2 linked regions of the Yarrowia lipolytica genome follow. The protein of the gene in region 2 interacts with the protein of the main gene of each other region in a pairwise test. Links are inferred from orthologs where the notes say so. Each region holds a gene or a part of one and is shown on either strand. Other genes may lie near its edges. The genes, in order: YALI1_D05633g and YALI1_E32445g.

Region 1 (4,851 bases), on a different chromosome or scaffold from region 2:
AACATATGTATTGCTCTTAGTCTTTCAATCATTGGTTTGTTGAGGAATAGTGGAAGCAAGAGTTCTGCGAGAGGTACTTATTTCAGTGTTCCGAGTATTCCAGAGATATGAGAACTTGATAACTAGATATTAAAGGCTCTAGTTCTTAGCAGATATTCACGAACATCTACCCCGTGTAGTATTAATTTCCTAAGATAGTTCCGTTTTGGTGCTTACGCTCACGTGGTGTTCGTTGGGATTTTTGTTGGATATTACTTCAACAATTACTGGAGAAGTCATTGGAGAGAGCCGAACGAGTTCGCATATCCGAAAGACTGTGAATAGCACCCGAAGTCGCATACTGCGCTACGATGACTGGAAAATCTGGTTGTGGCTCTCGATCATGTTAAGCCTGACCACAAGAAAACACTCGCAGTGTTTTTTAATCACCCGTGAAACACGAACTACTACAAGGAGTTACAGTTCAAGTAAGATCAGTATCGAGTGTACAGTGTACAGTAGTAACTCCATGTTTGTACACACAACTGACGAATACTCTCCCTTTAGCGCGAGCGGGAACACATCAAATCACGATTCACATACTTCTACCGTATGTACTGTACCTCTCGTTGCTATCGACTAGTTGCAGCTACATGTTACCGAATCATCTACAAGCTCCACCTAACGCGATTTTCTAATTTCAGGTCAATAAAAGTACTCCAATTACGTGTGTTTTTTTGTCTTAATGGGGAAGATGGGCATCCTCATGGGGACCGGCGGCAGCCTCGGCAATCTTGGCGACCGTGGGGACTCCCTGGGTAACATGCGAATCAGGAAGGGGCTGGGACACTCCTCCTGTGGCCACCTGCTGGGGCAGCGAGTTGAGCTGTGCGAGCTGCTCGTCGGTGAAGGCATTGGCCTGGGGAGCAGCCCCTCCCTTGGTCTTGGCCTCGGCGGCCTTCTCAGCCTTCTTTTCATTCTGCTCCATCATGGCAAGCATTTCGGGAGGGAACGAGTTGGTCTGAGGTGCAGCAGTCTTGCCGGTGGGGGCAGGGGCAGTGGCGGTCTTGGCAGCAGCGGGAACGGGAGCCTTGGCGGCCTGGGCAGGAGCAGCCTGGGCAGGAGCAGCCTGCTTGGAAGAAGAAGCTCCAGCAGCAGCAGCAGCACCGCCAGCAGCAGCAGTTCCAGCTCCGGCAGCGGCAGCAGCAGCTCCGTTACCGTTGGCCTTTGCGTCAGTGGCCTTGTCGTCAGCACCGACCTTGGTGGAAGCAGTGGACTTGGCGTAGGTGGAGGAGTTGGAGACGATGGAGGGGGCACCGGTGGGTCGCTCACCAGCCACGGGGGCCAAGCCCTCGGGGCCGACAAACTGGGGATCTCTCCAGGGGCCGTCGTCAGAGAGTTCAACACCGATCTTGGAGGAGGACTGGCCGCCAAACTTGATGGGTAGGTTGTAGGCGGGGACCTGGGCCAGGAGCTTCTCCTTGTAGTTGGAGCCGTACACGTGGATCTTGGACACGGTGACGGGGTCCAGGAATCGCTTGATGACGGAGAAGACGGTGGAGAAACCAAACGGCGCGTTAATCAGGTAGAACTTACCCATTCGCTCGGGGTAGTAGTTCTGGCCAATGTTGGAGGCATCCTTGAGGAAGCCGTAGACCTGGGAGGCCGACGACAGAGAAACTCCCTTGAGATCAAGAATGGTGCATGAGGTCTCAATGAGATGTCCAACAACTCGAGAACAGGCGGGCAGTCGGTGTCGAACAAACGACTCGTACTCCCACACGAGGTTTCGAAGCATTCGCTCCTGGGTGGTGATCTTGTACATTTCGTGGATGTTCACCTTACCCACGTTCTCGACGTAGACGGGTCGGCCGTCCTTGTCGGTCTTGTGGTAGTACTGGGGGTACAGCTTGGCCACCTCCTTCTTCTCCTTGTACCAAAAGTCCTCCAGAATTGTGTTGGTGCCGAACTCCTTTCTCCACTTTTCGCAGTTCTCCCACATTTCTTGGGCCAGAGGCACATCGAACTTTCGGGCTCGCAGGAACCGCAGCAACGTGGCGTCATCGGTTCGATCTTCGTAACCCTTGGTCAGCAGGATCATCTTAAGCTCACCGAGCTTCTGCTCCTGCTCGGCTGTCAGGTTACCGGGGTAGCCGGTAGGTCCACCAGGGGCGACCTTCTGGGGATACGATGCGCTGAGTTAGTAATCTATTCGCGAGTCCACAGTTATTGTGTCTCCTATCACTTTTTTTTGACATCACCGAAAGCGGCTGGGCATGCAGGTCAATCACGGTTGAGAACAAAGGGAATAATTTTGGATGACACAAAACGCGACCTGGGCGACTGGGACCATTCGCAGAAAGGGGGCAACACGATTTCAACGCGATAAGGCGGCTTTTTCAGAAGCTCAATCGCTCAATCGCCCGCCCATGTTATGTCCGAGTCGCGCGCTAAATCCGAAAGGCAAAATAAATCCGACAGATGGCGTGGGAAACTAACTTTTGGGAGCTGTGTGTCGAAAGGAATGGAGTCGTGTCAAGTAGAGTGGTGTGAAATGAGTCTCCCAAAAAAACAAGTCCTCAAATAAGTTGTCGAATGTAAACGCCGCATTGTCGTGGGTTGTCGTTTTTAAGCCCCATTTTGTGTCATTCTTGTTGTGCCACTTTTTGTCTCTCCCAAATCCCCATCATAAATGTCTCAGTCCAGTTGGGACTACTCACAGAAATTCCTGAGTTAGCGATGAATCAATGATTGGATATGAGCATAGCATATCCCGACACTGGGGTTGCCACTGGCATGACCATTGCACCTCCAGCTGTCCGAATTCGCCCGCACCCGCCAGGCCAGTACGGCTGTTGCTTCCACGTATGTCATAAGGTGCATGACGCGTAAACACAGCCCCATAAGCGCGTGTTAGGGCGGGAACTCCCCATGAAGGCAGGTACAACAACCTCCAGAAGGAAAGAACACAACACCGAAACTGGATATTGAGCTCTCGTTTCGCTATTGTCCCCAGCCCCTAATGTGCTGGTTTGGTGCCGTTGTCGTGCTCTCAGCATGTCGTTGCTCAGCTGTTTGCTGGCGTCCCCTGAAAAAAAGCCCTTGGTTGCGACCTTGACAGTGGTGGCGGTCGTGGTATCTCCCTCCGTGCAACCCGTTGCTGCCACCGCCCGACAGACATAAACACACTCACTTGCTCGGTAACAGTCATTTTGCGTCTCAATCAATTGTGTATCGTGGACCTCGAAGAAAGCAATGCAGACTTTTGGAGGAAAGAATCGTAAAAACGTTGTAATGTGGTTTTATGCAATTCGAAACTCCCAACAACGTGTGATTGTGGAATTTTTTTTTAATCTGGCACAACAACGTTGACAATCTGACAAGAGAGCAGAAGTCTATATACGCCCTTTGCGAGAGAAGAAGAAAAAAATAGTGCGGCTTTTAGCTCACCACACACTCCTTCTCCATCAAGGGTTACATTTGGCGCTGCGGGGATGACACGTATCCTGAACGAAGACCTTTGTTCGGCGTTCCCTTCTCCCCCATTCAGACACATTACATTCCACTCTCAAACAATGACGGTTGTCCGAGGCCTCAGCTCCGATCTCCCGTGTGCTTACTAACTGCAGTCCGGAAGAAGACAGCCTTTTGTTGTTTGTTTGGTCCGAGAAACCTTGAGGGGCCTGACGTGGACCCTTTTCTGGCTTTGGGCCACAGCAATCCAGCAATCCAGACCTGCAAAACGGCTGCCAGACATTACAACGACTAGTTCAAGTACAGTATGTACCGTAGTTTTCTGTGCGGCTACAAAGTACCAGGCGGCTGACATTAGAGGTGGTGAGGCGGCTCCAAGACCCAAACATCTCGGCTCCCGTACTGTGTGATCTGTGTATGCCGACAGTGTGCTGTAGCGTCTGGTGTATCTGGTGTCCATTCTTGTAATTAACACTACCATATCACGCTACAATGTCTAAGGAGAGTTGTGCAACGCCCAATCACTTCAGCTCATCACATGGCTCTTATCCGAGACATGGTTAACGTTAGCAGATGTACCCAAAAAAAGTAGCCAAGCCTCCGGTGAATTACATCACGAGCTCCGAAACGTGTCTTAAACGGATTGTACACTAACTATAGACACGCACGGATGTTCCGTCTACAGCTCGCTCTGAGACTATCTTTCTAGAACAGCAGGCCGCAGCCTGAGAGCTGCAAAGAGACCCGGCCGCAGCAACACAAGCACAGGTAACAAGCCTCAGACACGACAAGCGAGCCGGATAATTACTGGTGCTGCCATTGAGCGGCCAAACTTAGCTACACGTGCAATGGATGAGCTCATAGAGTTGTTGCTCAAGGAGTAGTATCCAAACTTTGCCCAGTAGGAGTAGATGGCCGCACTATCTGCCTGATGAAAGAGCCTTGTCAATTGGACTGCTGTTACTCTCTTCATTCATGTAAGAACAAATCATTGCGTTATTCGAACTACAGCAATGGCATGGCGCTATCTCCGACCACGATACGATACAATGCATGCTATTGTATAATACTATGTACTGTAAGTCCCAACGATATACACCAACCGGTATGTATGTACATAATCAGGCAGCGATAAGCTTAAAGATACAGTAGATGGTGAGTTGAGTCACTGTTAAATACATAAATCCTCCACAGCCCCTTCACAACCCCTTCACAAACTTTTCTACCGGAAGTGAGGCCGCACTCGTCGCTCCTTGGGCCTCACAGTCTTGAATCTAAGTCTAGTAATCACCGCGGGCTTGAGGTCCGGCCGCAGGTGGTGCACCATGTCCAAATACCCATGCGCATGGCTCTCGTAATGCGTCTTCCATACAGTCCCCATGCGCTCCGTTAGATGCT
Region 2 (3,470 bases):
GAAATCCGGTCATAAGTGGTTCAAGTGGTTCGACGAACGAGATACCAAGGAGGACAAGAAATTGATTCTCAAGCTCGATCTCCTTTTGACATGTTACTCTCTGGCAGTCTACTGGGTCAAGTATCTAGACCAGACCAATGTCAACAATGCTTATGTCAGCGGTATGAGAGAAGACTTGGGTTTCAAGGGTAACGACTTGGTCAATGTACAGGCCATGTACCTGGTGGGAGAGTTGTTTTCCAGCTTCCCTTCATGTTCATGCTTCCCAAAGTGCCGCTAAATATTGTCATTCCTGCCATGGATCTCTGTTGGGGTATCATGACTCTCTTGTGTTGCAAGATCCATTCTGTCGCAGCTCTCAAGGTGATTCGATTTTTTGTTGGAGTTTTCGAGTCTGGATTTGTGCCAACTGCATATTTCCTCATGGGCTCGTGGTACAAGCCATCTGAGGTCGCTCGCCGAGCAGGTTTCTTCTACATGGGCCAGTTTCTTGGTCTGCTGAGTTCGGGTCTACTGGCTAGTGCAGCCCTTGATCTAGATGGAGTTGGAGGATTTGAGGGGTGGAGATGGGTGTTCATCGTGGACGCCATTGCAACTCTTCCACTGGCTGTCATTGGCTTCTTTGTCATTCCAGGAACCCCAGACAAATGTGTTTCGCTGTTTTTGACGGACGATGAAATCCGAAGATGTCGACTAAGAATGAAACCATATGCTACCGAAACTACCGCGGTGGAGAAGAAGAAGTTCTTCTCTTGGGAGCTCTGGAAACCTCTCCTCACTACCTGGCGCATGCCACTACTGGTACTGGTGGCCTGCATATTCTTCAACAACAATAGTGGAACATCTGGTTCTTTCATCCTCTGGCTGAAAAGTCTTACGGACTCGGAAGGAAACCAGAGATACACAAACCAGAAGATTAACCAGTTGTCGTCTGTGGCACCAGGTCTTGGTTTTGTGTACGTCTACTCGGCATCTCTTTTTGCAGACATGTTCAAATGTCGATGGGGAGCCATTGCCATCACCCAGACCCTCAACTTCATAGGCTGCGTGATTCTGGCAGTATGGGACGTGTCGGAAGCTGCAAAGTGGTTTGCCTTCTGTCTACAATACACGTCCTGGTCCATGAGTCCATCCTACTTCGGCTGGGTTAGTGACATTATGAGACACGATCCACAGGCATATGCCATTGTGATTGTGGCCATGAATATGATGGGCCAGTCCACCCAGGCATGGGTGTCTGTTCTGGTTTTCCCCACTGAGGAATCACCTCGATTTACCAAGGGTTTCGCAACTTGTGCTGCCTGTGCCTTCGGTTGCGTTGTTGGAGGTATTGCGGTTCTTTATTTCTACAAGCGAGATGAGAAGCGAATCTGCCACAAGAACGGCATCATTCTAGTTGGCTCCGCCGTGGAGTGTATCGAAGCCGAGAAGGACAACACCACCGACAGGAAGGAGAGTATCAAGGGAGACGACATCAAGGTGGACGATATCAGAGTCTCTGCCTCGTCCGAAAGTGTCAACTATCAGTAATGTATGTTTTGAGTATCTGTTTGAATCTACAATAGTGTGTAACGTAAGTGGTCTCACTGTACACATCTGATCAGCTTTTTTAGCACTTCTCGTATCCGTGTCTTTCTACAGTTGCTCCCACATGCATTTGTTTTTGGGTGTCCGTGCTCTGCTGTTGGTGTGCACGCACCTCAACTCTAAAAGCATTTCTTTTCGGAGAGCCTATTTTTATTCGACTGTGAAACTGTGAGGTGTGTTCCTGGATAAATCCTACACTTGGCCCCCCTAACAAAAGCCATGTTCCGACCAACCCGACTACCCCGAATCCAGCTTCTGAAGCCACTCTTCTCTAGGCGCTTTCTCAGCTACACAATCGCCGAGGCCTACAGCGCGAAGCCCCGGCCACCTCACCAGCAGTCCAAACCTCCGGCTGGAGAAAACAGACCGCCTACCGGAGAAGATGCATTTTTCCATGTTTCGCTGAGCAAGACGGACTCGCCCGATTCATACACATACAGCAACACGGCGTTTGGCGTCACCGACGGCGTGGGCGGCTGGGCAGAAATGGGAGTCAATTCCTCCGATTTCAGCTACTACCTATGCCACGAGAGCTCCAATCTGGCTGTGGAGAAGGCTAAGGAGATCGAGAAGGAGCCTGCATTCGCTGAAAAGCCCCTAGCCTCACTCATTTCCCCCAAACAGCTGCTCACCAACGCCTACAACAAGATTGTCCGGGAAAAGACCGTCAAGGCAGGAGGAAGCACAGCATGCATTGGGGTCGCTGGTCAGGACGGCCAGGTGGCTGTTGCCAACCTCGGAGACTCCGGATTCATGGTTTTCCGTAACGGCAAGCTTGCTGGAGGCTCGAAAGCGCAGACTCATGCCTTCAACACCCCTTACCAGCTGGCTATCATCCCTGATGAACTCAAGCGAAGTGATGAACGACAGGGTCTGCGTCACATTGAGGACACTCCCGCAATGGCCGATCAGTTCTCTTTCACTGCCGAGCCTGGGGATGTCATTGTGCTTGCTACTGACGGTCTCACCGACAACATGAGCGCTCAGGACACCCTCAAGATTGTCAACGAAACCATGCTGGAGCACGGATCGTGGATCAAGGACGACAAGGAGGGCATCAAGTCCAGCGGTGAACACAAGGGTGCCATGGATCTAGCGCGGCGAATCGTGCTAAAGGCCAAGTCGCTAAGCACCAATAAGCAGCATCTTTCTCCGTTTGCCAAGGAGGTGCAGCAGGTGATGAAAGTGCACTACATGGGAGGCAAGCCCGACGATATCACAGTGCTTGTTGTTATTGTCAATGAATAAAAAGACTCTGCCTAAATCAGTCAGGCGGACATTCACATTGCATACGGTATACATAGCTGCAAAAATACATAATTTGGGCATTGGATTATTCAAATGTGTCTATGGTTGTCTACAACTTGGCCTTTTCGTAAGTGGGATAGTCAATGTATCCAACTGGACCGGAGGAGTAGAAAGTCTTTCGATTGTAAGGATTGAGCTTCTCGTCCTTCTCCAGTCGTTCAACGAGATCGGGAGTACTGATGAAGAATCGGCCGAACGCAACCAGAGTAAGGGGGTCAGAAGCCGCAGCCTCGAGAGCAGTTTCTCGAGTGAAACCTCCAGCTCGAACAAGAGGACCCTTCCAGATCTTTCGGAAAGGCTCGTTGGTCTGCCACGCAATATCCTCCCGCTTGGTCTTGGTGCCATTGACTCGGGGCTCAATGAGATGCACGTAGGCTAGCTTCTGGCCATTGTCTGCTCGCTTTTGGAGCTGACGGAAGATGTATTCAAAAGTGGGGAGCGTGTTGACCTGATCAACCTCGACGTCCTGAACGTCGGTCCAGGGGGACAGTCGGATCGCCAGTTTGTCTGAACCGATGGAGGCAGAAATGGCGTCCACGATCTCCAGAGAAAACCGACATCGGTTTTCTATACTT

Evidence for each region.
Region 1: the proteins of YALI1_E32445g (region 2) and YALI1_D05633g interact in binary tests that used the Saccharomyces cerevisiae proteins (3 or more experiments, as listed by UniProt). The link is inferred for Yarrowia lipolytica from reciprocal best matches to the Saccharomyces cerevisiae genes PTC7 and SEC14.

Annotation. Positions count from the first base shown.
Region 1 is NC_090773.1:561,188-566,038, forward strand, and holds YALI1_D05633g (uncharacterized protein), read right to left. Parts: upstream 3,191-4,851; coding exon 3,173-3,190; intron 2,708-3,172; coding exon 2,700-2,707; intron 2,175-2,699; coding exon 722-2,174; downstream 1-721. Other genes in the region: YALI1_D05692g (uncharacterized protein), read right to left, coding at 4,676-4,851. UniProt on the Saccharomyces cerevisiae protein: Required for transport of secretory proteins from the Golgi complex. Catalyzes the transfer of phosphatidylinositol (PI) and phosphatidylcholine (PC) between membranes in vitro. Essential for viability and secretion.
Region 2 is NC_090774.1:3,242,904-3,246,373, reverse strand, and holds YALI1_E32445g (uncharacterized protein), read left to right. Parts: upstream 1-1,806; coding exon 1,807-2,835; downstream 2,836-3,470. Other genes in the region: YALI1_E32461g (uncharacterized protein), read left to right, coding at 1-223, 244-1,530; YALI1_E32423g (uncharacterized protein), read right to left, coding at 2,945-3,470. UniProt on the Saccharomyces cerevisiae protein: Protein phosphatase which positively regulates biosynthesis of the ubiquinone, coenzyme Q. Dephosphorylates and activates the ubiquinone biosynthesis protein CAT5/COQ7. Also dephosphorylates CIT1 on 'Ser-462', which leads to its activation.